Linked DNA regions of Daphnia pulex. The protein of the gene in region 6 binds, or shares a complex with, the protein of the main gene of each other region. Links are inferred from orthologs where the notes say so. Each region holds a gene or a part of one and is shown on either strand. Other genes may lie near its edges. The genes, in order: PCI domain-containing protein 2-like, nuclear pore complex protein Nup214-like, nuclear pore complex protein Nup107-like, nuclear pore complex protein Nup160-like, nuclear pore complex protein Nup85-like, nuclear pore complex protein Nup205-like and nuclear pore complex protein Nup153-like.

The links.
Region 1: nuclear pore complex protein Nup205-like (region 6) and PCI domain-containing protein 2-like share a complex: the UniProt entries of both Drosophila melanogaster proteins name them as parts of the nuclear pore complex. The link is inferred for Daphnia pulex from reciprocal best matches to the Drosophila melanogaster genes Nup205 and PCID2.
Region 2: nuclear pore complex protein Nup205-like (region 6) and nuclear pore complex protein Nup214-like share a complex: the UniProt entries of both Drosophila melanogaster proteins name them as parts of the nuclear pore complex. The link is inferred for Daphnia pulex from reciprocal best matches to the Drosophila melanogaster genes Nup205 and Nup214.
Region 3: nuclear pore complex protein Nup205-like (region 6) and nuclear pore complex protein Nup107-like share a complex: the UniProt entries of both Drosophila melanogaster proteins name them as parts of the nuclear pore complex. The link is inferred for Daphnia pulex from reciprocal best matches to the Drosophila melanogaster genes Nup205 and Nup107.
Region 4: nuclear pore complex protein Nup205-like (region 6) and nuclear pore complex protein Nup160-like share a complex: the UniProt entries of both Drosophila melanogaster proteins name them as parts of the nuclear pore complex. The link is inferred for Daphnia pulex from reciprocal best matches to the Drosophila melanogaster genes Nup205 and Nup160.
Region 5: nuclear pore complex protein Nup205-like (region 6) and nuclear pore complex protein Nup85-like share a complex: the UniProt entries of both Drosophila melanogaster proteins name them as parts of the nuclear pore complex. The link is inferred for Daphnia pulex from reciprocal best matches to the Drosophila melanogaster genes Nup205 and Nup75.
Region 7: nuclear pore complex protein Nup205-like (region 6) and nuclear pore complex protein Nup153-like share a complex: the UniProt entries of both Drosophila melanogaster proteins name them as parts of the nuclear pore complex. The link is inferred for Daphnia pulex from reciprocal best matches to the Drosophila melanogaster genes Nup205 and Nup153.

Annotation. Positions count from the first base shown.
Region 1 is NC_060025.1:7,985,669-7,989,557, forward strand, and holds PCI domain-containing protein 2-like, read left to right. Parts: upstream 1-1,383; 5' UTR 1,384-1,557; coding exon 1,558-1,593; intron 1,594-1,668; coding exon 1,669-1,710; intron 1,711-1,788; coding exon 1,789-1,910; intron 1,911-1,972; coding exon 1,973-2,239; intron 2,240-2,304; coding exon 2,305-2,522; intron 2,523-2,584; coding exon 2,585-2,685; intron 2,686-2,766; coding exon 2,767-2,966; intron 2,967-3,034; coding exon 3,035-3,132; intron 3,133-3,196; coding exon 3,197-3,312; 3' UTR 3,313-3,389; downstream 3,390-3,889. Other genes in the region: b(0,+)-type amino acid transporter 1-like, read right to left, coding at 233-369, 432-477; threonine synthase-like 2, read right to left, coding at 3,564-3,765, 3,847-3,889. UniProt on the Drosophila melanogaster protein: Required for the export of nuclear mRNAs and involved in mRNA trafficking in the cytoplasm.
Region 2 is NC_060027.1:5,448,498-5,452,495, forward strand, and holds the start of nuclear pore complex protein Nup214-like, read right to left. Parts: upstream 2,801-3,998; 5' UTR 2,649-2,800; coding exon 2,616-2,648; intron 2,551-2,615; coding exon 2,212-2,550; intron 2,155-2,211; coding exon 1,964-2,154; intron 1,906-1,963; coding exon 1,597-1,905; intron 1,541-1,596; coding exon 337-1,540; intron 271-336; coding exon 143-270; intron 89-142; coding exon 1-88. UniProt on the Drosophila melanogaster protein: Part of the nuclear pore complex. Serves as a docking site in the receptor-mediated import of substrates across the nuclear pore complex including emb, RanGAP and phosphorylated Mad. Protects mbo/Nup88 from proteasomal degradation at the nuclear pore.
Region 3 is NC_060019.1:10,133,856-10,137,995, forward strand, and holds the start of nuclear pore complex protein Nup107-like, read right to left. Parts: upstream 2,801-4,140; coding exon 2,021-2,800; intron 1,962-2,020; coding exon 1,616-1,961; intron 1,557-1,615; coding exon 1,205-1,556; intron 1,146-1,204; coding exon 677-1,145; intron 612-676; coding exon 1-611. Other genes in the region: protein BCCIP homolog, read left to right, coding at 3,167-3,451, 3,512-3,610, 3,685-3,848, 3,907-4,078, 4,140-4,140. UniProt on the Drosophila melanogaster protein: Plays a role in nuclear pore complex (NPC) assembly and maintenance. Required for nuclear import of Mad. Mediates the association between the nuclear pore complex and a subset of active chromatin regions adjacent to lamin-associated domains.
Region 4 is NC_060017.1:6,357,211-6,360,032, forward strand, and holds the end of nuclear pore complex protein Nup160-like, read right to left. Parts: intron 2,802-2,822; coding exon 2,549-2,801; intron 2,482-2,548; coding exon 2,124-2,481; intron 2,062-2,123; coding exon 1,792-2,061; intron 1,725-1,791; coding exon 1,394-1,724; intron 1,324-1,393; coding exon 992-1,323; intron 919-991; coding exon 751-918; intron 672-750; coding exon 582-671; 3' UTR 501-581; downstream 1-500. UniProt on the Drosophila melanogaster protein: Functions as a component of the nuclear pore complex (NPC). Involved in poly(A)+ RNA transport. Required for nuclear import of Mad. May play a role in double strand break DNA repair. Essential for nephrocyte development.
Region 5 is NC_060023.1:4,665,836-4,669,979, forward strand, and holds nuclear pore complex protein Nup85-like, read left to right. Parts: upstream 1-1,344; 5' UTR 1,345-1,486; coding exon 1,487-1,501; intron 1,502-1,563; coding exon 1,564-1,672; intron 1,673-1,729; coding exon 1,730-2,316; intron 2,317-2,386; coding exon 2,387-2,509; intron 2,510-2,622; coding exon 2,623-2,841; intron 2,842-2,968; coding exon 2,969-3,606; intron 3,607-3,678; coding exon 3,679-3,922; 3' UTR 3,923-4,021; downstream 4,022-4,144. Other genes in the region: rRNA methyltransferase 2, mitochondrial-like, read right to left, coding at 74-334, 406-523, 588-636, 705-844, 952-1,112. UniProt on the Drosophila melanogaster protein: Component of the nuclear pore complex (NPC) that seems to be required for NPC assembly and maintenance. Required for nuclear import of phosphorylated Mad via importin msk.
Region 6 is NC_060022.1:5,063,116-5,067,389, reverse strand, and holds the start of nuclear pore complex protein Nup205-like, read left to right. Parts: upstream 1-1,474; 5' UTR 1,475-1,654; coding exon 1,655-1,789; intron 1,790-1,847; coding exon 1,848-2,320; intron 2,321-2,380; coding exon 2,381-3,151; intron 3,152-3,210; coding exon 3,211-3,638; intron 3,639-3,696; coding exon 3,697-3,846; intron 3,847-3,916; coding exon 3,917-4,140; intron 4,141-4,202; coding exon 4,203-4,274. UniProt on the Drosophila melanogaster protein: Plays a role in the nuclear pore complex (NPC) assembly and maintenance, but with limited role in NPC permeability. Required for specific nuclear import pathways such as Mad import.
Region 7 is NC_060021.1:252,442-256,493, reverse strand, and holds the start of nuclear pore complex protein Nup153-like, read left to right. Parts: upstream 1-1,252; 5' UTR 1,253-1,534; coding exon 1,535-1,606; intron 1,607-1,672; coding exon 1,673-1,916; intron 1,917-1,987; coding exon 1,988-2,083; intron 2,084-2,145; coding exon 2,146-2,433; intron 2,434-2,517; coding exon 2,518-2,663; intron 2,664-2,725; coding exon 2,726-3,077; intron 3,078-3,137; coding exon 3,138-4,052. Other genes in the region: double-stranded RNA-binding protein Staufen homolog, read left to right, coding at 1-147, 212-298, 359-457, 540-641. UniProt on the Drosophila melanogaster protein: Component of the nuclear pore complex (NPC), a complex required for the trafficking across the nuclear envelope. Functions as a scaffolding element in the nuclear phase of the NPC.

The DNA.
Region 1 (3,889 bases), on a different chromosome or scaffold from region 6:
ATGACAACGGAAAGAAACGTTGCGTTATCTTTGGCCTATCCTCGCCTTGATAAATATTTAGATAATAAATAGCATCTTTTAGGGTCTTTTTGGATGTAACCAATGAGACGAAACGTTGTTTCTTTTATCTGTTTACATGCGTCTGTCACCACTCGGGTGCATGCTGTACTATGATTATTTGCCACTGAGATAACTTTATTATACTTGTTAAAACAGAACAAAGGAAACTTACCCGTCGATTCATTTGCAGTTCATCTTTAATGTTTGACACGGCATCGGTTAAGCTACTGTCATTAATACTGTTGGTCGAACTACTATGTCCATGATCGTCTTTTGATAAAGATTCTGTACGATTTTTATTCGTATCGTCTGAATGTCACAAAGAAAAATGTACATGTCATTGAAAAATGTGTTAAAGAAAATGTATTTACCTTGAGATGAGCGTTGTCGAATTGAATCACTTTCGGGAATAGTCATGTTGGAGCAATACGGAAATTATCCAGCCGAAAATCTAGAAGGGAAATATTTAAATTGGACCTTTGAAAATCCGTGTGCGAACGTATGGAAACGAAGTTTCCCTCCTACTATTTGCACACGTGATGCACTATATTTAATTGACTGTCAAAATAGGGCCACTGGGGCTCGTTGTCGACTAAAAGCGAATGATACAAAAGAAAAACTAGTAGTCAGGGGAGGCCGAAATAAGAATAGATCGGAAGTAGAAAAAGAGGGGGGAGAGAATGGAAACACGAGTGGTTCGGTCCACTCTTAAAGTAGAGCTGATTATTATTGACCATTCGCTGCTGATGCTGCTGTATCTTTTTTTACAGGGTTTAGCGTAAACCCGCCTATATACACACACACTGCAGTGTGTGTGGACTGCCCGCTGAGCGGCTAATCTATGTACTCAAGAGTTTTAAGCCATTTTGACATGTTTGTTCACTCTCTCTCTTCATACTTCTTAGTGAGGTATGAAATCATCTTAGACTGGCGCCACGCTTTTTAATTAGTCTGTCCAGGAGGTAGTTGATCCTTGTTTTTTTTTTTTTTACTTGGAACTCCTCTGTGCAATTTATATGTTATTGGAATCCCGACTCAATGTTTTATACATTTATACAGTACAGTCCTGCGTCAATTGTTTTGTTGGATTAAATCACATGCATTATCTCAGTTGTTGGATATGCATGATATGGAACCAGTTCTTTCTCAACTCATTCTATTTATGTTTATGTTGCGGCATGTTCAGTCGTAAAATAATATAATTCTTATTTTACTTTGTGGTTTTTCCTCCCTTTCGAGATCGAAAAACTTTGATAACAAGCGCGGCGTAAAATTTGAAATTGTAAATATGTAATTCAACTTGTTACCGCTAGATGACGTAAGAGTTTCTAGCAGACGAAGAGCTGAGGAACAATTCGAAAGCGACCGGTCGGCGTGATTATTGAAATTTTCTGTCAAATAATATCCAATTGTGTTTCGCCAAAATTAGATTTCTGTAAGCCACCGATGTCCAGTTTTAAGTTAGTCTCGAAAAATCATTTCTAAGACACTAAAAAAATGGCTAACTTGAATTTGAATCAATATTTACGTGAGGTAACACAGCGCGTCACAAACAGAATGCATTGTTTACACATCTTTAGTTGATTGTTTTTATTTAAACTATTTTAGATTCAATCTTCATGGCAATCTCGAAGTGGAACTGAAGTTTCAGTAAGAAATTCAAAATTAAATTTCTTGTAAAATCATGCTCATGCAATACTTCACGTCTTCTTATTTTGAAACCTTTAGGAACTCCTGTCATTCAATCACCCACATGTTATGAGCTCCAAACTTATTTTGGAGGGATTTGAAAAGTCTGTTGAAAGAATCGTGGAAGCTCCTTTTGATGAGATTGTTGTCCTTCATCTCAGGTATACAGTTGAACTTTCATCAATTTTAAATTTTGGTTTCAACTTTCAATTTTACCATCTAGATGCTTAAGCTATATCAACCAGCAAAAGTATTTAGAAGCATACTCTGAGCAAAGTGCTTTGGTACAGGCGTTTACAAAGCTCTTTCAGACACAGAAGGAAGACAACTGGGCTTTATTCATCATGTATGTCATAAGTTTAGATTTGCGTATGTTTGCAATCAAAGCAGACAAAGAATTGGCCAAAAAAGGAGCAGACAAACCAGGACAAACACTTGAAAAGGCTGCAGAGTGCCTCATGGGACTTTTTAGAGTGTGTGCTGCTGACAAGTAAGAAATAACATTTTGCGACTTATGTAGTAACTAGGTACTCATTCTTTTGTTTGAATTTACAGTCGGTCATCTGATGAAGATACAAAACGCTGGGGAATGCTGTATTTGGTCAACCAGCTGTTGAAAATCTACTTTAGAATAAACAAATTGCATCTTTGTAAGGCTCTTATTCGCGCAATTGATGCCTCCCAGTTCAAGGACCAGTTCTCCCTCAGCCAACAAGTGACTTACCGATACTATGTCGGCAGAAAGGCCATTTTCGAAAGTGATTTCAAAAGCGGTGAGCAGAGTAACATAAATTTCTAAAAGATAATCAATTCTTATATTTAATTTCGCATTTAGCTGAGAAATATTTATCCTACGCGTTTGAGCGGTGTCACAAGAACTGCCGCGCCAACAAACGACTGATTTTAATCTACCTGATTCCCGTCAAAATGCTTTTGGTATGACTTTCATTTGTTGTGTACACATAATGCGATGGAAAACGGAAGGAAGATGCTTAACGTATTACATTTCATTTAAAGGGTCATCTTCCTACAACCCAATTGCTGAGAAAGTATGACCTTCTACAGTTTAGCGAAGTGGTGCAAGCTGTTAGGGAGGGTAATCTCCGGAGACTCAACAATGCCCTTCTTCAACACGATGCCTTTTTCATTCGCTGCGGTGTTTATTTGATTCTTGAAAAGTTAAAAGTCACCACCTACAGAAACTTGTTTAAGAAAGTGTAAGGGATTTTATTGTTGGTGTTGAAAGATGAGCCGACATGATTTCTTTTGAATTTATAATTTTCAGAACTTTGCTCATGAAAACTCATCAAATCCCGATCGAAGCCTATCTTGAGGCCTTAAAATTCATGGGAGTTGAAGACATAGACTTGGACGAGACGCAATGTATAGTGTTACATAAATTAATGTGGCTTTTATAGAATTTGATCCATTTCTTTTTATAACGCAGGTATCATTGCAAACCTCATCTTTGAGAACAAAATCAAAGGGTACATTTCCAACAGCCACAACAAGCTGGTAATCAGCAAGCAGAATGCGTTCCCATCGCTGGCTGCTATCGTATAAGTTGGATCTAATATCTCTTACACACACCTGTTTTCGCGACTAATTGAAACAAAATAATAAATTTCTTATTGAACGAATTGTTTCTTGCTTCCTATTTTTGTATTAAGTAATAGTTTTAGCTGTTTTCTTGTTTCAAAGTCTTACATATTTGTGTTAGGTTTCACCTGACTACGCTATTCTACACCAAAACTGAGTGAATCTCAGGTAAATATTCAAATTTGTTTGTGACGATATTCAACGGTTTTTTCCCCCTAAATCTTAAGGATGATATCTTTTAATTGACTTGTCCAATCGTGGCCCTTTAGGAAGACGTGTCGGGGTGTACAAATTTCGGTATCCATTTTTAATCTCTCCACTCTATGGTGTGTCGACTTGTCCAATCCTGCCGCTTCACAGGCCTCGGGGAATTTCGCCGGTGATGCCGTAGCTAGACAAACGAATACCTGTTTTCCCCTACAAACCAATAAAGGTGACCGGAAGAAACTCATTAAACCGGATCAAGTACATGGGGAGAGAACAAAAATAAATACTCACCTCTGATCTACGTTGAAACAGTAGGAGACTGCCGTTGCAGTGT
Region 2 (3,998 bases), on a different chromosome or scaffold from region 6:
TTCTCCTCTTATACTTGACGACAAAAGAGAATCAGCCAGAACAGCCAGTTCAGACTCCCATTTTCTTGACTCATCACCACTCTTTGGTCTACAGAACACACAATTAATTCAATAATTAAGTGAATTTATGAATGGCAAATACCTTAAAGCTTCGAAGGCTGCACCGGCGAGTTTCAGTTGCTGTTCTTTGCTCTGAACCATAATTCGTTCAACACGAGATTTTAACTGTGATATTACTTTCGTATTGTTTCTAATTGCTTCATAAATAACCTGAGATGAAATAAATCATAGGATGCTGAATATTTTAGAGTAATAATAATAATAAAACAAGCTTACCTGAGTTATTGGGATTTCAATTTTGCGGGTGTCTCTAGTACGGTCTCTGCTAATCGAATCTAGGCTTCGTGAAGCTTCTATAAGCTGCTGTTCTATGTGAACGTGCAAGCGCTCAATGCCGTCCATTTTTCTGCGATTGCCTGGATCTAGAGGCCGTAACTTGAGCAAATGACAGAAATGAGAATTTTTGCGACGAGCACGTCGAACACGGGCATCTTCCAAAAGGGCGGCAACTTCTACCAAATCAGTGCACAAGCCTCGAACTTCTTCGTCTTGCACTTTGGTAGTATCGACCAGATCCACACCAAACTCAGCCAGATCGGATGTCATCTTTAACAATCGTTCTTTCTCCTCATCACTCGCGATCGTAACTTTCAAAGTCAACGAACGAGCTTTGAATTCCTTCAAGTCTTGAACGAATTTGGCCACTTCGTCACGTAATATTGCAGCGGCAGCGCCCATGGATGAATGGATGTTAGATTCATCTGCGATTGGAGTTTGACTTGTAAGTTTGACAGTAAGTGGAGTAGCTTTCGGGACAACCGGAACCGCTTCTATCTTCACAGCTGGTACAACAGGTGCAGTTGCAACTTTCGTCACTGAAGGTAAGGCAGGTTGAAGTTGGGGTTTGTTGCCCAAAAACGAGTCCGAAATAGGCGGATTTGAAGGTAATTTCGTTGTAACTGGGACTGCTAAGGAAGGAGCATCCGCAAATGCAGCAAATCGTTCTCCAAGATTTGTTCTAGGAAATGCAATTTTACCAGCAGCAGGTAATGGAGTGGAAGCTGCTAATGGAGCCGCCTTGAGACCAATTCCACTAAGCGCTGGTCTCTCACCAGTGACCGACAATTCTTGAGGAGCCTGATTGAATTTGGCAGCACCGTTCTTTAGATTGATAACATGAAACGGGCAAAGCAGACCATGAGTGCTGAGTATGAAAAGAATGGGTGCGGGCGGTAAAGTTTGATTGTCATCCCAACTGATTGGAATTTGGCTAGTGGTATCGATGGCCATTCCCAACGGGTTAGTCTCAGCATTCTCATTTAATGGTAGTTCAGCTCGCCATTCACCTTCTAGTGCCCATTGCCTCCATTCAGGGTGATCAGCATCTCCAGCTCCTGTTTGAGCTAGTACGGCAACTTCTATTGCGTTAGCTGAACAAGCCAATAACACATTCCATGGGGATAAACTCAATGTTAGATAACTAAAAAAGAAACAAAATTCATTATATTGATAATAAAATGAAAAAAATTCGTATACCTGTGTGGTCTTTCAGACGGACTTCCGTAGCAAACATCGTCATAATCTATGAAAGTTGTTGCCCCCGATTTTTGTACGTTGACTATGTAGAGGTGGGGACGAGAATTGGGTTCATTTTGATCAACAAACGTTACAAGGAACTGAGTTGTAGAAAGCCACTGAAGTCCACAAACCATTGGCTGAGTCATATGGACATCGCTACCACTAAACGCTATAGTCTTGGCTTCCTTTAAATCAGGCTTATACTGAACTAGTTTACTAGGCCTGGCCACAACTAGCTGTTTTCCTTTGGGACTCCAACAGACTGACCTAATAATTCAATAAAATTAAGAAAATAACATACATACAAAATAGGATATTCACATACTGGGCTCCTGTACTTGATGGAAGGCTATTTATAGTGAATTGAGTGTTGTTGATCTCCACTGCAACTAAAGAGCCATCACTAAGACAGACAGCTACTAGAGTTGGTATAACAGGGTTCCACGCACAATCTTTCACAGTAACTCCATCAGTAGACGAAAGCCTGACTTCCTGGAAGGGATTCCATTCACCTGACTGAAAAAGATTTTAAATCTGTTTCAATCACACAAAATGAAATTCCTTAAATCATACCTGTCTTGCAAATCCACGAACATCATACATCCAACCTACTGAGCATCCAGATTTTTGAAGGCACACCATTAAGGTAAGATTATCAGAGCTCAGTGTTACAAAACTAGGTTTGTTGGGTAAAAGAATTTCCTTGATGGGAAATGATGATATTTCTGATTTTTTTGATGTTGTATTGTCAATTTGTATAAGATCTGAAACTTTGATGACAACAAGTTTGTCAGGTGTCCCAACAAAGATCAGACCAAACAAATTAGAAGTAGCCAGCAATGATGTGGTGTCCTGTACATCATATTCCTTTTTAGTGACTCTAAACTTACACAGCTGTTTCATTTTGAAGTCCTGTTGTTACAAGTTAGATTGGTTGAATTGAAAGAAAACAATAAAAAAATGTATTTTAAAATTACCAAGACTTCAACAGGATCAGGAACGTTTGCCATTATCAGTTTCAATAATCAATGTAATATTCGGATAGAAAATCACACCGCACTTTCAACCTTATTTTGTTGCAAAGCCAAAGCCGGTCGAAATTTTATGAAATGTCTAACTGTTTGAGTGCCTCACTGCCTGTCTGCTTGTGACAAGTGAACGCCATCTATCAAAGCAATTTGAATTTTTTTAAATTGTAATAACTCGCGGTTCTTTTTTTTGAAAGGGTAGGGGCTGAGGGGTAGTGTTTCCAATTCTGATCACTTTTGGGGCTATAGTGGAGTTAAGATATTCAAAAGGGAAGGCTTACGTGATACGTCAACCAAATTGCAAGATACAATATTTTCATCAACTTGGTTCATTGAAAACCCTGTTCAAAACGATTAAACAATAAACATTCGATCAAACGAATCATATTCGAGGAATAAATTTACAAATAGGGACTATATAATATACGATAAATCTGATCGTGGTGCACGGTCTCTTTATACGGCAAATAGTCTCTCTTTGAACTAATTAACAAACAAAATTAACTTAACTTAACTTCTAAATAACTTAACATCTATAAGTAAGATAAACTGGCACCTTATCTATTAGGCTACACATTCTGGTCGGTCTGCTCAAATCTGGCTCGATTGGACATTATTATTTTTCAAGAGATTCAATTGGATGATAATTCATGTAACCTTAGTCTAGCATAATTAGACAAAGAATATCCAACTAGGACAAACTTTAGATCCGACTCACTTCCTCATCCCAACCTGTGTGTAGTTCATTCATCTCGATCCCTTTTCTTTATCAGTCCGCAAAAGATGGAATTATTTTTTTTTAAATTTTCTATTCAAATAAACAATTATTGGTTTAATTTGATCAGATTCAGAAACAGCGACACAGCGACGCCATACGGCCGTAGCGCATAAATTCATTTTTAAGCGACGCAGGGAGAAAAAAGATTACTGCTAGTAAACTCTGACTAATCGTTTATTTAAAACTTTTATTTCTTTATTTGTATCAATTATAGCAAGAAGCCAGGATATGATATTTACTTGGTAGTTCGGATAAGCCGGAGATATGGATGCGGGCTTGTATGCAGAGGTTTGTATGAGGAGTACGAAAGGATAGGCTGGGCTAGGGTAGGAAGCTGGTTTGTATGCAGCTTGTTTCTCCGTCGTGCCATCCAAAAATATTTCCTTGTAATAATGATTGTCAGAAGTGGGATTTGAACCCACGCCTTCTATCGAAGACCAGAATTCCTATTTACCAAGTTTTAGTTTGGCAAGCACCTGCTTGAGTCTGGCGCCTTAGACCGCTCGGCCATCCTGACATATGTTTTATGATTGATTGGCTATATATATTACCTT
Region 3 (4,140 bases), on a different chromosome or scaffold from region 6:
GGGATGCAAGTTTGTCGCAACAACTGTTGTTGCTGTTGTCGGGGAGAATTTTCCTCCTCGAAGGACATGCTATCAACCATCCAGCCTCCGTCAGGAAAAAGTAGGACGTTATACAGTTTGTCAATAGCTGATTGCGTGAGGGAATCGACGGCTGCCTGCCAGCGTTGAATTTCAACTTGATGTTGCTTAAGATGCTGTTCTTTGAGTAAGTTTTCAGTGAATGATAGTTGAGAACTGGCTCCTCCTCGCTGTTGTTGAACGGTAGCTTCTGTTTTCTTGGGCTTGGAGTGATGGAAACGTGTGAACCATTCTTGAAAGGCGTCTAGTGCATCAATGTAAGTCTGGATGCAAAGGTATTCACGGACAGCAGCCTCGACTTCAGTGGGCAAATCCGTCAATCCAGTTCGTGATTCCCATAGTTCGGTCAATATGGCGACTGTGTCGGGTGGAGTCAACTGGAACGTCAGCTTCACAGCTTCAATCTGACGACGGAGAAGGTATCCCCGCATGAGAGTGTTGGCTTGGATAAGCAATTGACTTCGCATTGACGGATCCATTAACAACCAGCTCAGTGAACGTATCCGGCGTTCATCTTCTGCCGTGGTCGCTACCTAAAAGTATTAAACAATTATGAGTACGCTATGCACGAATGCAGATCGAAATCTATATTAATCACCTGTAGAGAAGCATCAGTGACGTGTTGGACCATTCCGCCCTGGTCGCAAAGTTTGATTACAACTTGTTTGGCGATAGCGTTGACATCAAGTCCGACATCCTGGGCCAAAGATAGGAGGCGCCTTCGCTCCTCGTCGTCACAGGATTCTTCCTGTTCCTCTACCATAACGAGGCATTGAGCATACAGGCGAATTTGATCTTCTGGCAAAGGCAATTGTCCAACATAGACAGCCGCCAAATCAGTTCGTCCAAGATTGACAAGTTGTAGAACGTAAGCTTCCAGGATGGATCCGATGGAATCGTCACATGAGCCACGACCGATGCGCCGGAAGAACAGAGCAAGATGGGACATTAGCCGGATCATGTGAGGGCGTAGGTGAACGCTCCAGCTGTCACCTTGTTTCAGCCAAGACGACATTTCTTCAAGTAATCCGTCAACATCATCCATAATAAGGTAGCGCTGTATGATCCTGCATTTCAAAATTTGCTTTGGTAAATTTCGCATTAGACAAATTAAAGAATTAGTCACCTATATTGGTCACGGCCTTGGGCGATCAAAGTCTTATCTCTGGAGGCAGCTAAAGTTGAGAAAATGGACTCGACGGTCAACTGTTGATTCCAATATTCGTCTGGTAGAATTTGAAGTTGCCGTTTATAATTGACACAGCGACGAAGTTCCTTCTCGACACAGTGGTCGATCATGGCACGCAGATGAGCCCACAGTTGATCTTCCCAGGAACGACAGGCAGGTAAAAGGGCTTTCAAATGTCCACAAAGAAGAGCAAAGATTGCGCGCTCTTCCTCCGACAACTGCACATTTTCGCACTCTTTCCAAGTCATCGTCTTCCATATGTCACGATAAGGATTTCCAGATGGCGACTCTACAGTTGAGATAAATATTTTTATCGAATCCATTGGTTTCTACAAATCTGGAAATTACCTTTCGTGTTGGCTACATCCGTGCGAGATTTCATGTTGGGATCATGAAACAGTTTCCATCCTTCCAAAATTGCAGCCCGAAATGGTTGACCTGCTCGGAAACAGAGCTGCTGGGCTTCATCCAGCTGTCCACAACGGAGTCGAGCAAATACAGAACGAAGCAAACGCATTTCATCTTCTTTGTCAAGTGGGTGAAGACGTCTGTTTTGTTCTCGGTTAGGAGCATCGGGATCCATTTGAGTAACCATATTTTGCTCGACGTTATCTGTACTAAGCCCTCGTTTTTTACTGACCAAAGAATGAAGAGTATTTTCCCAGCCGGCAACCGCATCTCCGTAAAACTCCACCTAATTAGAGTATAATATATTATTTAATAAAAGAAAATTTTAATTACATTAAAAAATACCTGGCTGTAATGGGAATCGTGATAGACATCAGCCGCTCGTTGTTCCAGCCAATCGACTACGAGCTGAGCCTGTCTGATTATGGCATTTTTGTCATAGAGTTGTTTTACCAAGTCATCTTCACTTGTAACATCATCCAATCCACTCCAGATTTCATCAGACTCCATTTCACTGTCATGAAATTCAGAGTTTAAACGATCTTGGTAGAGAGATGCAACCAATCTCCATGTGTCACGCTCAAGTCTCAGTTCTTGCTCCAATTCTTGTGCTTGTGATAGTTTGTTGTGTCCACGAGGGGCCATTTGAATCAATTTTCGCAAAGCAGATACTTGTTCTCCACATTCTGACTCATATTCTGCACACTGATTAAACACTTGATGTTCTGCCCCATATGACTGAAATGTTTTGAGGAATCTCTCAAATAGTTCTAAGACATTTTCTACTCCTGGAACTTCTTCTTCTAGAAGGATGCTCATGAGTTCTTCATTTCGTTTCTTTCGTGATACATTGCTCACTGTTAAGTCTGCTCTTGTCGAATCCAGATTTTTCCTTTGTAAACCAGCACCAATTCTCGTAAATGTAGGATCACTTTCGAAAATAGTGTGGCTAAGATCATCAGACATAAAAGACATTGTATTATGTCGGTTAGGAGAAGGGAGGCAACTGGCCCCCAACATGTCTGATGTCTTTTCGAGTGAGTGCTTTATTCTTCGACCAGGAAGATTTAGTTTGCCAGTAACAGTTGAGTTAGAACCGGCAATAATTGGAGATTGAAACTCCATTGTGCTTATTTTAAAAAGATACAATAAAATTCACTGTCTTATAAAGAAGAAGTTTGAAGGTTTGAAGTTTTCCGTTTTTCGTTTTATTGTAACGTAGCAGACTAAGTAAAAGGGCGTTGCAATTCACGTTCAAAGTTTTATTCATTAAAATAATTATAATTAATTGAAATTGAAATAGTAATGATTTGATTTTTATAATTGTTATAATATTTAATACAATTTTATTCTATTTTTTAACTCAATTTTTAAGATTTTATTTCAAACAATTTGAATGTTCACTTCACTTCCTTCCTACCCCTTCCTAGCAGACAAACTTAAGTTTGTTTTTGACTTTTTGACACGTGTGAAAAATTGTCTTTAAAAATCATGGCGAATTTCAATACTAAACGGCCTATGGAAGAAGATAGCAGCGATTCTTCAGAGGAAGAAGAAGAAGAAAATGATTCTCAAGATGAAGAAATGGGTGAAGATGAGCAACTTGGAGAGAACGACCGAGAGATTCAAGTCGACTTTGAAGGTCAATCACCAATCGCTGAAGATTTTCACGGTATCAAGAGTCTAATGCATCAGCTTTTCCTAAAGGCTCATATTAATTTAAGTGGTCTGACGGAACTCATCATTCAGCAAAACTACATTGGAAGTATATTACAGGTAATAAAATCTTGTGAAGATGTAATTTGTGTACTTTACTAAAGATATCTACTTCTTCAGCAATGTGTGGATAATGATGAACCTGATAGTGATGATGAAGGAAATTCTCTTGATGAAGTTTTTGGAATTACTTCTGTAATTAACTTGACACATCACAAGGTGAGATAAAATTTTGAATTTGTGTTACACAAATTACAATTAACCCAATTTTTTTTGTTATTTACTTTTCCTAGGATGTGGAATGTATTAAAGAAGTAAAAAAGTACCTGTTGGAAAAAACACAGAAGAAACTGAGTGGATTGTTTGATGATCCATCTAACCAGATAGGACTTATATTCAATGAAAGGTTCATAAACATACCACCTCAAGTTTCTGTTCCCCTACTGGAAAATCTATGGTATACAAGACTTAATTTGAATTATATCCCAAGTTTAAATGTAAAATTTTGTTAATAGTAAGGAGATTGATGAAGCAAAAAAATCTGGAAAGCCTTTTGACTTTACACACTTCATTTTAATTTCCAAACTTCATGAATCTACAAGAAAAGATCCTGAATCAAGGAAAAAAAAAGTCAAAGGAGGAGCCACCATATTATGGGTTAATGCAGAAGAAGAACCAATTTCAGAGGTATTCATCTATTAATTCCACGCCTAAGTAGAGTAGGTTGTAATAAAATTTCGTCAAATAGA
Region 4 (2,822 bases), on a different chromosome or scaffold from region 6:
CCCCTCCGCTATACGGGACATACGGACAAGGTCTTCCGGGTCGAGACACTTCCAGGTCGCCATACTTAATCGCCTACTTTCTCAAGGGAACAGTTAGGTTAACCATTAACCGTTAGAATCTCACAGATTTTAAAAATCACATTAGTCAAACTACTTTTGCATTTGATAAAATGTCTATGATATTGTCATTAATTTTGAATTCATCTTTTATAGAAATTAATAAGAGGCTACGCTAATAATGATTCAAACCAACAATTTCTTTTTAAAATCAGGTGAAATATTTGATTAATTGATTAAATGACTGAGGACTAACCATACAAAACTGGATGTAAAAAAAATGACGTTGTTCAACTTACAATTTGAGTGAAATAACAAAATCTGTCCAATTCTTTTGCGTCAGCGTCATGGTCGAGGAAACAAACAAATGTTTGTTTGCTGACAACCTTCCGCAAAATATTTACAAGGAAAATTACTGTTAATTTTTTTTCATTCTTTCCAAGTCGAGGAAATCTCAGTATTTATTACACAGTTGAAATGGTAATACAAAATTCAGGGTTTTATTAATAAAAAAAGAAAGAAAGCTAAGACATGGATAACTCGACAAAAGAGCGACTAACACGTTCAGCTGTTTGGAAGTAAGCGTGCAATTTGCCTTTCATGTCATTCAGTAACTGAAAGTCAAAACATAAAAATGAATTAACATTCAATAAATAATAGGTAGAAGAAAAAAATAAACAAACAAGCATTTACCGATTTATAGGTAGAATCATTACAGTTGGCTTCCAATTCCATGATTAAACGATCGAAAACTGTGTAAGGCATCCATACAGGAGGTGCGTTGATCTGGAGCGGGTTGCTGTCGAATCCAAAGTACTCCTTCCCTTTTCCCAGCATCGCATCCATCAATTCTAGAGCTACCTATTAAAAGTCAGGCAAAGAATCCGTTAAATCTATATTTATTTAAAATAATTCCAATAAAAACTATAAATACCTGAGCTGCATCTTCTAAAAGCCCTGCTTGATGATAGATGCTGATAAGTTCTCCTGGATTCCTCAATTTGTAGCTGGCGGCCAACCAATAAGGCAAGGTGCAATCTAAACCGAGGATTTTTTTGGCCGCTGCACGATGACAGCGGGTTTGCTTGTCCCCTCCTTCTGCTTTTGGTAGGATCCTCTCTAATAACCGCCAGGCTTGCTCTGAAGCCTTGCCTACTCCAGACGATTGATTCAGAGACAACCAAATCCAGGCTTCATCCTCGTTGGCCCGTTCTCTCGATAGGGCCACGCAATTGGCGGCCAAGTGTTCCACGACCGGAGACGTATCTTAAGTCACACAAGCAGAAAAACATGCTTAATGTACTTCTGACAAGGTAATAACAATAATAAAAAATACCTTTGACGTCAAAGATCCTGGCAATGCGCAGTGCCGATTCGTAGCGGTTGCGTGAAGTCAAAAGCGCTACCACGTCCGAAGGAGAAAGAGATGTGATTGACTGTCCAAGATTGATACAAGCGTAGCTGAGTTCATATTCTTTTTCAATATCAGCATACTCGATGACGTCAACCGTATGTCTAAACGGTTCTGATGAATCCTTACGATTCAACGTAGTTACTGGTTTAACCAACCAGGCTTCCTGTCTAGAGACTAGGCGCAGGGCGTTGAGACAAGCCAAAAGACATTTGACCATTTTGGCTGACTCTCCTTCACATCCATATCGAAGTGCCTTTAATGAAACAAATTACATCAGTAACGGTGATCCAAGGCCTAAAGTGGTTGATAGTACACATTACCTGTTCGTGCATCACAGCGGCAGCTTTGCGCATTTTACCCTGGCGGACGTGAAATGCATAGAGAAAGGAGTAATAAAGCGTCATAGATAGAACATCTGATGAGCGAGCCCTTCTCTCCACAATTTTTTCCAATTCTGATTCCAATCCGGCGTAAGGGAAAGTTAAAAGAATATCCATCTGCTTGCGTTCCAGCAAAATATTGACCAGACGTCCAAGAGTTTCAGGTCGCTGACTGCTATCCGGATTATTTACGATGGCTTCGTATGCTTCCTATTAGCAGTGAATGGATACGTAAGGGCGTGAAATCTGATAAAATGCGTTTGATTTATTACCTGATAGTGGCCCAAGTTCAAATGAAGCTTGGCAACAATCGACCATATTGTAGGCAAAAGGGGGTCGTCCGTTTTACTACTGTTTAGGGCTACAAGAGCCACACGAAGAGCAGCACTGCATAGTCCCGCCTGCTCTAACAATTGGACGCATATGAGATGAAAGCGCATCACCGGATCAGCACGACTTCCAGCGTCACCACTTTCATTCGCTCCCTTTGTGACAATCGAGTGAAGAAGTTGTTCTTTGATGATTCCTTCAGCAGCTTCAAGCATCCACTTACTGGCTTTATCTCCTTCACCGGTAGCCACAAGTGCGACAGCCATCAGAAATTTTCGAGAGCACGTATTCCATTCACACCTGGGCGGAATTTGCATTTAAAAAAATCAATAAACGCATCTAATATTGAAGTACAATATTTACAAACCAGTTCTGTTGCAGGCGGACGTATCCCTGTACGGCCAAGGGTTGGAAGCGTTCCATCAGAAATTCCATGAAAGTCATGTGATTTCCAATGGGCCAAAGCAGCTGGCCAATGGCTTTCATAAAGTGTGGGAAAACATCTAACCAAGAGGACGTCCATTCAGCAGCATCTTCTTCCTGCAGGACCATTTCTCGTACAGCTTGACCTCCATCCAAGGATAGGAAGAGTTCAACCAAGCTCTTGCACGGCAAAGTCGCTATGGAATTGTTTAATCAGT
Region 5 (4,144 bases), on a different chromosome or scaffold from region 6:
TTGAATACATGGATGAAGCAAAATTTCAGTAGACTTCAATGTGAATAAAGCAAAGTAAGTAGTTAAATAATTACTATGTATTTTTCTTGAAATTACTAGCTAGTATAAACATTTCAGCTGAATCCTGTCTACTACTAGGTGGTTTCACAACTTTGACTTGAGAATAGTGTAATGCAATCTCATTCTCCAGTTGTTTGATTCTTCCTCCTGCCCATAATTTTATCAATAGCGTAGCTCCGTCCATAGAGATTTGTTGCGCGTAACGCAGCACTGAATATGCTAATTCTAATATCCTATCTTGATCCAAATCTCGTATACCCGATGCTGCAGGAGCCTAAATTTAATTAGCAAATATTAATTGAAATAATTTAAGGTAAAAAAAAACTGAAATAAAATCAGCCCTACCATATCACTTAGGACTGCATTAGCAAGTTGCCCACCAAGTATTTCTGTTATTCTGGTCTGGGACAAACTTTTTGTGAAATCTAATGGAGCCAAGATTACAGCTCCTTCAATTGGGTACCTGAAAGAATAAAATTGAATAATGTTAGTGAACTAAGGGTACCAAAACTTTGCAGCCCTTTTACATTGGTTGAAGATCAACTGCTACATGCTTTCCTTTAAGCTGAGAAGACACTGCATGAAATCCATAAACATTCTAGTGTCATTTTAATTAGGCTAAATAGTTAAACAATTCAATCTACCTTTTCCTGTTGCATTAATTCGTTTTACACATACTTGTGTCCAAGCACCAGGTGCAGCGCCACATTCTACAACCACATCTCCAGGTTTAAGGAATTTGTGTTTGTCATCAATTTCAATCAATTTAAAGGCACTTCTAGCTCTTTCTTGGTTAATAAGAAGTAGTAAATATTAGACAACAATTAAACTGAAGCTATAGCCTGTTAATTGAAAATATTGAAATCATAATTTTTATTTGAAAATTACTACCTATAATTTTCCATTTTGGCTTTAAGAACATACTCGTCATTCATTTGCCGAGTTAGCCATTCTTGAGAACTTTTACTGCGGCCCTTTAGCCGATCGGGCACTTTTTTAAAGCATGTTGAAGACGAACAAAACTGTCTTACTGAACAAACGGCAATGTTCATAGCAAAAACTTTGTTGAAACGGATATTTTAATATGGATCAAATAAATTCTTCAGGTGAAAAGCGATAAACAACTTGAAAGTATTAATGAAACAGCAATATAACATCACCTAATAAGATCAAGTAGACTATGATATTTTGTCAACAAACAAGCAGCCACGAAAATTGAAATTTCCGCTATCGACATTCGGCAGCACAGGTCATAGTTACCGCCGTAACCATGGCCATTGCAGTATGGTGTAAAACCGAAGCAGCAGACGACAGATTAGAAATATTTCAAAAAAGTACTCGTTACGAGTTCTGACTGTTAGTTGAAATCCTTCTGAATCCTACACACAATTACGATTTGTGACGTGATTTTCACGCATTTTACAGAATGCTTGAACCTATTGTAATAATAATTTCGAATTGTTCATGGTATACATATTTGTAACCAAACTTTCTTTGTTTTAGGGAATACAAGATCCTCTATTTGCATACAACAAAGATGTTGGGCATTCTTGGGGTTATGGTAACAGCTTGGCTGTATTTCCAACAGAATTTTCCAAGTCGATCACCTCTGGTAAGTTCTTTCTGGAAGTTAGCCAAAAAACTCCTACTAAGTTTTTCTCAATGACAGGTCCAGTTAGTCCCCAGACTTGTAAGAAGAAGCTTTATACAATTTCTTGGGAGCGAACCTTGTACAATCCTTTTGTTCGCAAGCTGGTCAATGAATCCTGTGGAGCATTTACTTCTTTACAAATTAAGGCTGGCACAGATGGCCAAATCAGCTCATCTGAGTTAATTAAATCCAGTCATCAGTATCGTTGTATAATGAATGCATGCATTGAAGATTTGAACCAAGCAGCAGATCTTGCTAACAGTGTTGAATCTAATCAAGCACTTCAAGAAATGAGTGAAATATTTTACAAAGCTGAGTTGGTGTGGAATTTGTGTGAAATTCTGTATCTTGAGAACCCACTTGGAATTCTGCCACACCTATTAGAATGGATTCGTATTCATTTTCCAAATGCAGTAGAAGAAACTGGTACAGTTTTAGCATCACCAAATCCTGGACTCCATGAAAGCTATTGGAAAGCTCTCTATGGACTAGTGTTTCAGTTACGCTTAGAAAGTGCTACCAAACTGTTAAGAATTCATCCTGATTTCCAGAGTGAAGCTTTTCAGAGTGCATATGAGTTGCTGAAGAAAATGCCAGTCTTTAGTGTAAGAAAGTTCTTGTAATTTAGATAGATTAACAATTTTTCTATCTCCTAAGTATTTCTGTTCTATTTAGGCCAACTCAACTGTTTCTGCTCCAGAGTTTACCTTCAGATGGAATCATTGGAAAGAAGAATGTGAGGCTCGCACTCAAGCTGGAGATTTCTTCGAATCAAAAGATTTAGAACTTCTAATGGAGGTATATAATGTTTTATATATAATGATCTCTTAATTCCCATTTTTATTTTCATTAGTTTATGTTGTATGTCTTTTGTCTAACTTACATAAACTTTCTATTTACTTACGATAAAGATACTATGTGGCAAAGAAGAAGCATTTGAAAAAGTTGGCGATCATTTCGAAACTTGGTATCAACGAATGATTACTCAGTTAACGTTCACGCAACCCACAATTGGAACGTTATCTTTGGGAGATGAAGCCGAACAGTTTTTTGCTTCCTTAATCGGATTAGATGATTTGACGTCACTAGATGCAACACTTTTGGCCGTTCTTCGTCGCGACACGCGTAAAGTGAGTATCGCTGTTATCAATGGATAAGAGTTTTAAGCAAGTTTGATAAGAGTTCATGCAAGTATCAAGACACTACCAACATAATTAACTGGAAACGTTTTATATCTGTTCAAATTTGTTGTCACAGGTGATTGGAGAAATGCAAGGAGTATTGGATAATTCTTGGTTTACGGCACATCTCGCTGATTTATTGTATCACGCCGGAGCACTTCAGTCGTTCGAAGACATTAACTCACTACAGCTGAGAGAAACTTTGCTTCGTGACTACTCGATTTGCTTATTTAGCCACCAATCCTTGTGGTCGGTTGGTGTTCTCTATCTTGACCATTGCCCTAATGTTGGTTCTGCGACTCTGGAACACTTGCTCACTCGACTTCCGTGCCAGTCGGAAATGAAGGCAACCAAAATAATTTCACTTGCCGAGCGAAGAAAACTAACATCAGTGGTAACTTCCGTCTGTCGTGTAATGGGTCGACGGGCCTTGGCCAATGGACGACTTGGTGCGGCAGTCGCTTGGGCTGTTAAGGCGCAAGACGCTCCTCTTGCTACCTATGCCGCCGATGCTGTTCTGAAGAGTTACCTTCAAGATTCAGATTTTACTTCGACGGACTTGCTAGACTCACTGGGTGCTGGACTTCTTGCCAGCGATCGATTGGCTTTCCTTGGGAAATATCGCGAGTTTCATCGTCTTTACAATTCAAACGATTTTCATTCAGCAGCTGGCCTTTTGATCTCTTTAATCTCATCACGGATTGCACCGAAATAGTAAGTAGCCTAACCACTAACCATGTTATCATAATTGCAGCTGCCTAATAATTATTGAAATTTCGTTTTCAGCTTTTGGACCGTTTTGCTCATGGACGCACTACCATTATTAGAAACAAATCCGCCAGTTTTCACTTCAGAACAAACTTACGAATTAATGCAAAGTCTACAGGAGTTGACGTCTTCGTTTCAAGATGATGCTGAAATCAACCCCCATCCAAACTGCCAACTCAATTCTGATAAAACAATGTTAATAACTTTAGCATTAAGTCGAAATTTGGCGAAATGTTTTGTACAACAAACTGTTTGTGATTAATGGGATGAAATTGTCTTTTCCACTTCGAATTTACTGCGTGGTATTAATCCACTTTAAGAGGGAAATTTGAATACATCCATATTGTGTTTCTTCTTTAAATAGTTTTCCAACAAATTTTCTGGCTGTCGTTCGTGTACCAAATTAAATGTTTTGTTTTTTTTTGTTTTTTTTATGACTGGACTTGATAAGGACTGTATAGCACAGTTTCTTTTTTTAATTTCA
Region 6 (4,274 bases):
CCATCACACATGCATGTAAAATCTTTACGGGGCACACACAAGCGGCAAAGAGGTGTTTTTCTGTGGATCACGAACGACATTTTTTTTTCAGGATCTCAAATCAGTCTAGAAAGTAGACTCCACAACGACGAGTTATGGAGAGCATCAAAGATTGGATGTGTTTTTTGACCTTATAAAGATATACATATGGTGAAAGCGTCTAGGAGGCAACGACTGGCGATAAACAAAACCACCGTTCTTCGAATTTGAGGAAATAAAAACTTGGGAGGTTTTGAAATAAAAAAAATTAAAATGCTCAATCCTACGATTTCCTCCCCTCCCTTATATCTTTTTCTCTCTTCGCAGTGCGATTGACGATTGGATTTCATTTCTTTATTTTGAGCCCCAATATGCGAATCCTGTAAATAAATGTAACAAGGAAAACATACCCAAATAGGTGGACACCACCGTTCCTAAACGTCCGTCTCCTCACTTCAACCTACCCAACTCTTATGATTATTGTGTTTCTTTTTTTTTTTTTTGAATTTTTTGCCACAATCAAACCGTCAACAGTTCTTTTTTGTGTGTGCGTGAATGCGTGTCATTGAAAGGAAAAAAACCTCTATTCTCGCCCTGATCTTCCTTCATATTTTCCTCATTTACCTTGTTTGAACACTGAAAATTTTTTAAAAAGTAAAAATTATCTTATAAGAAAAATTCTGCTAGAATCGACTTTGTATGTGTGAGTGAGTGTGAGTGTTCGTCTATGGCAACTTGTGGCACAGCGCATCGTGTCTTCGTAAGTGTGCGTCTGTATTATCAAGTCAGTTGGATGACATTAGTGTAATTTGTACAGGTGAAAACAACAAAAAAAAAACAAATTCTCAGTGCTATTATTCTATTTTGTATCGAGATGACGCGTTGGACTCGGTCTCCCAAATTGGGCGTCATTAAATTCTGAAAAAAAAGCGATGTCATCTTTATAATGTTTTCTCGAGCGAAACTGAACTTTTCCCGTATTTCCTTCTGCTCCAACTCCACCACCACTCCTCCACAACAAAAAAAAGCAGCTGAGAGCATTGCTTTTTTGTATAATGATAAAAGGGAACAACTTTTTTGTGCTTGTCGATTAATTATTATTTTTCATTTTCGTGTGTGGTCGGTCTTTTTTTTCAATCTTTTTTCTTGTGCGTGTTATACGTGACTGTTGTGGACAAGATAATGTGTACAGGATAATTTGCAGTTCATTTGTAAATATTACTTGTTACTCTTTTGATTACAAACCGTCTGATCATTCTTAAAATAAGCTGATTCGTTTTTACTTTATTTTTCAAATATCCACACCCTATTTTGAGAAAACAATAAATCCATGGACGAATATTGAATAGATAGATAAATGGGTTTTTGGCGGTAATCGTGTTTCAATTTCAACGCAATTGTTTCAATTTTCTTACTGGCGGGAATTTACTTTGAATAGATGGCGCTGTGATGGTAGGTGGCGTTGGCATCATCTACCGACTACCGGTACGAAAAATTATCACACGACAATTCCCCACAGACGAATTCGAAGTCCAAGTTTCGAATACGTTCAGCTTTTGCCCTTGTGGTTATTAGGTTTTTTTAGTGAAATAAGCTTTACTTTTGGTTGAACTGTCACAAGTTTTAAAATCAAAAGATGTGGACCAAGTCTAAGGACCTCCACAGTCTGGTTGAAGACACAATTAATAACCAGCAATGCAACAGCCTAGACAATCTGGAGAAAGCATTGAAAAATCACCGTTCAGATTTCTCTGCCCTTCTTAAACAGCCGGTAATTTCATGAATCAGATTAAATCTGTGTTCTAAGCTCAAGTCAAATTCATTTTCAGGCAAAAAATCTCGATGACAGAAACCTTCTCCTAAAATCTGTCAAAGAACCTGTTCTTTTCCCTGGAAGAAAGACGACTGCTTCACTTGAACAATCGTTTGTGGATGAAGCACTCATTATCTCTGATATGTTTAATCTAAACGAAAATGTTGCTGTTGAACTTTTACACACAGCAGAACAGCAAATGCATTACTATCCAGAATTAACCAGGGGTTTGATTTCAGTACTGCTGTACTATGATGCTAGACGTGCCATTGTCAATTCATTAAAAATTCTCATCCAAGCAAGGAAAGGAATTTCATGGGCTGTAGACACCAGCGAACAAGTTGTTGACTTAATAACAGAGTACACCGTTAAATTGGTGAAAAAAGGTTTGGTAGATCAAATCATAGCCCTGTTAAGTCAACTGAACCTTGAAAAGGAAATCAATTTGCTCCACGAAAACCGAGCTCTCGGTGGACCAAAACACAGAAGGTTTGTTTACAATTAAGATTAATATTTCTTTCTTTTAATTTTTTGTGTTTTTTATTTTAGACAAGTTCATGATTTCTTCACTGAAATAAGGCAGTCGTTAGCGGACATTGTATTTTGTTTGGCTGCTCAAAATGGACTGTGTAGGGACGATACACTGCTGCTAGTGAATTACCTTTCATCTGTCGAACAAGTCGATAACGTCAACGTCACTCTTTTCATGGCTCTTTTGTATGCTATTGATATCAGCGGTATCGTTAGAACTGAAGAAAGTGAAGACGTCGTCCGGTTGTTACCCATCACTTCGGAAAGTGCATTTGTTGCGACTATTCAAAAGCGTCTGACAGAACCACTTCCTTGGAAGAACATTGGCCTTCAAGCTTCAGTTCAACTTGCCTGGGCAGTGACTTTGGCTACTTTCCGTTCGCTTTCATCTGGACTTTGCGCTCCAATTCAAATGCAGGTTGACGAAGACGAAGCCATCCTAGACGTCGCGTTAGAGGGAAAAGCTTTGAATTTTCTCAGTCATCTACTACAAACCAAAAATCATATCTACAAAGAGGAGTTTTACTTACGGCGATTACATTCACTTGTGACGGATCTAATTGTTCAAATGCCCCTGAAAATCAAAGATCTTCGTAATAAGGCCGATGAAGTTGCACGTAACATCTTTGTCTATCAGCAAGAGGGCCTTGAGCCACCTTCAAACCTGCCGCTGGATTTTCAATGGTTGCTTAACTTTATCGCCGTTCTGTACGGAGAGGATCCTCTAGAGCTGGAACTGTGTCTTGAATTTTGGTCTAGTGACATGGCCAATGCTGGAGTAAACTACAGGTATATGGTTATTGTTTATTTTGAAATAAAAATAAAAACTTATCGCCTTTTTAATGCAGAGTCTCTCAGCGACAAATGGCCCTATATAAGTTTATTCGTTTGGCCGGGGATTTGCTACCGCCTTCTCTCTACATTTCTTATGCCAGCATGCTTTGCGGATTGGCAAATGGAAAGAGGGCAGCTCACCAAGCCTTTACCCTTCTGAAACAAAACAGCAACGGCGGTCAAAGCAATTTGATCTCTTGGGAACACTTTTTCTCATCACTCCACAGATATTTTAACAGTTTGCGCCAAGAGTCGCTCCCTGTACCGGACACCATCTACCGCCACAAGCCCCTCACAAAAGGCATTACACCACAGGAGGTTCAGGGATTGCAGGTCGTTTTGAAGTTAATGCGAATCGTTCTCCAACATGACCCTGTTGCCAGGATATCTTTGGCCGAGAATCCAACATGGATACCATTAGTCGTGATGATCGGACTCTTAGGTAAGTAAAAGCAAATAGCTATCGAATGAACCCGAAAAATACATCTTCTAAATTGTAGGCTGTGCTGTGCCATTGAGTTTGAAGGGAGAGATCATGGAGGTTCTTGCAGCTTTCGCCCAGTCACCTGACATCGCATATACACTGTGGAACAGCATTGAAATAGCTCAGATTTTGTCAACTACAAGCATAGTTTCAACAAATGTCAAAGGTTTGTGCATGAAGATAATTCTATATTAATTTCCTGCCCAGTAAAAAACAAAAAAAGGGTTGAATATTAGGTCTCCACACGGAATTGGAAGATGTTGAGTCTCGAGCTGAAGAATACCCCCTCACAAGAGCCTTTCTTAAATTACTGGACGTGATGACTGATATATCCATCCCAACCAACTTGGGAACTGGACATAGAACGCCTGGATTTGATCCCTACTTATTCTACGTTAAAGATTCCGTTTTCCTGAAATTTAGTGGTAGGGCGTACCGCAATGAAACGGAAAAATGGCAGGTTTGTTCGTTTAGGTTTAAAAAGTTGTAAAACAAAGTCTTAACATTGACTTCGTTTTGTAGATTGGAAATGCCTGTGTAAAGCTATTTTTAAAATTGCTCTCGAATTACGAACCCAGTGTGGATGATTTTCAG
Region 7 (4,052 bases), on a different chromosome or scaffold from region 6:
AACAGCAATTGCACAGGTCGTCAAATGGTTCCGGGTCTTCTTTTATTAGGAGGCGGACAGAGTAGGAAAATTGACTCTCCATTCATAACCGATTCATCGAATGCCACTGGAATTAAAGAAACTACTCAATCGTCTCGTCCGCCCAAGGCATGTTTTTCTTATGCCTCTGCCAACACTTCTTAAAATCATATATTTATTACTTAATCTTTAGACTTCTGGAGGGTTGCGCCCGGAAATACGTCTAAGGTACTTGGCCCAAGTACTGGAATACGAGGTCGAGTTTTCCGATTTTCCAAAGGTAATAAACATTTTAAAAACTAATTTTAATTTACTGTTGGAATTAATGTAATATTATTAGGGCAAGAAAGGAGATTTCGTTAGCCTTGTGACCTTGAATACAAATCCTCCGCAAGTGTCGCACGGACTTGGTGCCACTTTGGAAGAAGCCCATGATAACGTAATCATAACTTGACTATATTTTGGCAATCAGCTTAAGTTAATTATTTAATTGATGTTCTTTTTGTTAATTCTTTGCACAGGCTGCTTCCAATATGATGAAATTGCTTTCTGAAGGGTCTCAAGATGACACCGTTGGTCCCAACAAAGAAAACGCAGATCAACGAAGCACAGGACCCCAATAATTTTGTTTTTCCTATAATGCCCTGTTTGATATGTTGAGATTTGAAATGAGATTGTCTCATATCTATTTAATTTAGTTTTTGTGTCATTTAACTTAATATTCAAGCACGCTATCACGATTTTTCTTTTGTTATTCATTTGTGGGTTTGCAGTCAAAACTATTTTTCTTTGTCTTTCACTCTTTTTTTCCCCCTTCTACATTGTACACGGTTCAGCTTTTTATTTCATTATTTTTCATTTAACGGTTATTTGTATTTATTTTCAAATAAAATCAGGAGCTTATCTCTTGCTGACTCTTTATCATGTGTGGAAGAAAAAAAAAGAATTTTGAAAATGAATAATCTGTACCGTTGACTAAAAGAACGAAAATCAGAAAAAAATGGGTGCAAGTTCTAAGATTATGCAATCATACTGATCATACTTTTACGTAATACTGCACTACTGCATTAAAGAACTTGCGTTTTTTTTTACATGGCGCAGCGTGATACCTATATTTGCAGCACACATTACTAGTGGCTGTTTTATGTAACAGCGCTAGCCAAAATGAAAATTAATTTCATGCATGGGGGGAGGGGGTTACCGCATGCGAATTAGGCAATTTCTTTTAGTTCGATCGGTTGATTCATCGAGAATGGTCGAGAAGGGTTCCGCTGGAGCCAAACTATAGCCCGTCACAAACGCCCTCTACTGATAAATTTATAAGTTCTTTGAGCAACATCGTTCTTCATTTGTTTCTCGTAACCGCCAATCAGATCTTTCTAAACTTAAAAAAAATCCGCCATCTTTTCTCGGCACTTTTTTCCTCGCCGCGTGTGGGTCGTGGTGCGACGGGTTAAAGCTGTTTTCTTGCAACAGTATCTGATTTCCGTATTGATTGATAATTTCTAAAACAGTCATGTGGGAAGATAATTTAGGTAAAGTCAAGGCAAGGCGGAGCAAAAATTCAAAACCATACGAAAGGCCCAAGGTAAGACTAAAATACGTTTGTGTGAGTTTGTGAAACCCCAACTATATCCGGCTTTTTGTCTATCAGTCGATTTTGAGGCGAGTAACAGATTCAGTTACTGGATTGTTACCACAACCTTCTTGGCTGGTGAATTGGTTACAATCTACATCAGCTAAAAAAGAAGATAGTGAAAATGATGAAGTTGAGGAAGAACAACCTGTGCCGTCAACCAGTTCATCCAGCAATGGTAACAGCTCCCACCGAGAAGGTGTTGAAAGAGAGTCCTTCATATTTCGCAGACCACCTGGGACATCCAAAGAACAAAGCAACAGTAAGTTTTTTTCATCAATGTTCTGCTCCCTTCAAACTGTGTAACACATGCTTCTTTTTTTGTTTGACTTGCAGTAAGAGCTCGTCCAAATGTCCCTTCTTTGGACTTACTTCCAGAGCCAGTAGTGGTTGAATCAAGTTCAAGAGAACAAATCGTTCAAACAAATGGTTTGTATTAAACACTGATTTTCAAACTTTTATGACATCTCACATCTCATTTCCTCTGACAGGTGATGATGACTCCAACTCAGAGTCAACTAGCGGATGTTCCTCATTGTTACCACATCTCGAGCATAAGAGGGAGAGCAGAAATATAGAACTATCAAGTTTGGGAGTTGCTGAACCTCTCTCTATTAATCAATCTTCACTGCAAATCATTGGAAGCTCTTTGAGCAAGTCCCTAGCAGTTGACCTAAAAAATAGCCGTGGACGCAAAACTCTCAGCCTTCATACTTTTGGTCATGATACAAGTTCAGGTATAACTCCCACAGAAGAATCAAGGTTCCACAAGGATACAGGTAGATTTCTAATGACATTTTCATCATTTTGTAGTCAAGAATTTTGCTTACAAATGAGTCTAATGTATTGTTTTTGATTTGTAGAAGAGGCTAGTGGCTCATTTTTCGACAAAGACGACACTTCACTCAATCGTTCAGCTGCCAAGCGAGACCTTTCCCAACCTCAACTTTCATCGTATGGAAGCAAGAGACCACGCTTCAATATAACTTCATTTGGACCTACGGCTGCTGTAAGTCTTGAATTTAATTTACTAACAAAGTCTGGACTCTATTCTTTTATTACTTCCAACAGGAGGCTAGGCGGTCTTTAATGAACGAGAGTGTTGTAGACTCACCATTTTATGCTGGTAAGACGACTTACGGTGGTGCTTCAGCTTATCGCCGTGCCACTTTACAACCTTCAGCTGCACTATTCCCATACGTGCGAAGTCGAATTCAGGCTAGGCCTGCGTCTTCAGCTCCATCCACTTCGAGTTCTGTTGCTTCTACCAGTTCGTCAAATGTTGTACTTAGTAGTTCAGCGCAACGAATCCTTCAAGCACTCGAAGCCATGTCAACACCAGTGAGAGATGCAAAAAGGATTCCTGCTGCATCCAACAGTAAACGATCCACTTCTTTACAAGGCGAAGAACTTTCGTTCACTGGTAAATTGATAAAAGTTATGAATTGCTTAACGTTATAATAATTTCGCTTTGTGTTTAAAGGGTTTGGTTTGAGTCGCCGACGTCCAAATTTGGGACCTCCAACTTCCAAATTATCTGTCGGTACTCCGGCACAGATTGTCACCCGACCAGCTCCAGCAAACTTGTCTCAAATAGAACCAGCACTAGTATCGAGCACCCCCATCAGTGCCCAGGTTGGTGGCAAGATGCGAATGAGGATGTCAGCACCACTTCGCAAATCGGCTCCTCGTATTCGAGAGGATGAAGATGTAGAGTCGGAGGAGCTCACTGCTGTGCCAATGCCCATTAGTATAGCAGGTCTACCTAGTTTCAACTTGCTACCTCCTTGCTCGGTGGTAGAAAAAGCAACTGTTGTATCGACGAAGACTTCAGTGAAAACAGCAGCAGTAATGAGTTCCAATGGATTGGTTAGTTCTTCAATGACGAGTACCTCAACACCTCGTCCAGCTTTCACGTTTTCAGCACCGTTGGTTACCGTCAGTCCGTACAAGGTAGATGCAGCCGTCAGTTCGAAGCCGCTCAGTTTCAACTTCAGCTCCCCATTGCTCGTCAACGCTTCTCCGAAAAAAACACCAGAGAAGGAGACTCCAACTAAACCCGCAGAAGTGGAATTGAAATCTGGAAGTGTCCTTGATGTTCTCAGAGGGAAAAGTCAAGAAGCTGTGCCCGTTTTGGAGCCAGTTATTAAGTCACCACCGGTTCTTTCAGGATTTGGAGATAAATTCAAGGCACCTACCGATTCTTGGACATGTTCTGTCTGTTGCGTTCCCAATTCCAAGGACAAATCTTCGTGTGTGGCATGCGAATCTCCAGCCCCCAATGCAGTAAAAGCAATGCCTATTGCTCCTGCTGCTGCTGCTGCTCCTGTTGCGCCTCCAACAAAAGGATTCGGTGATCAATTTAAAATGACCGCCGCTCAATGGGAATGTTCTGTGT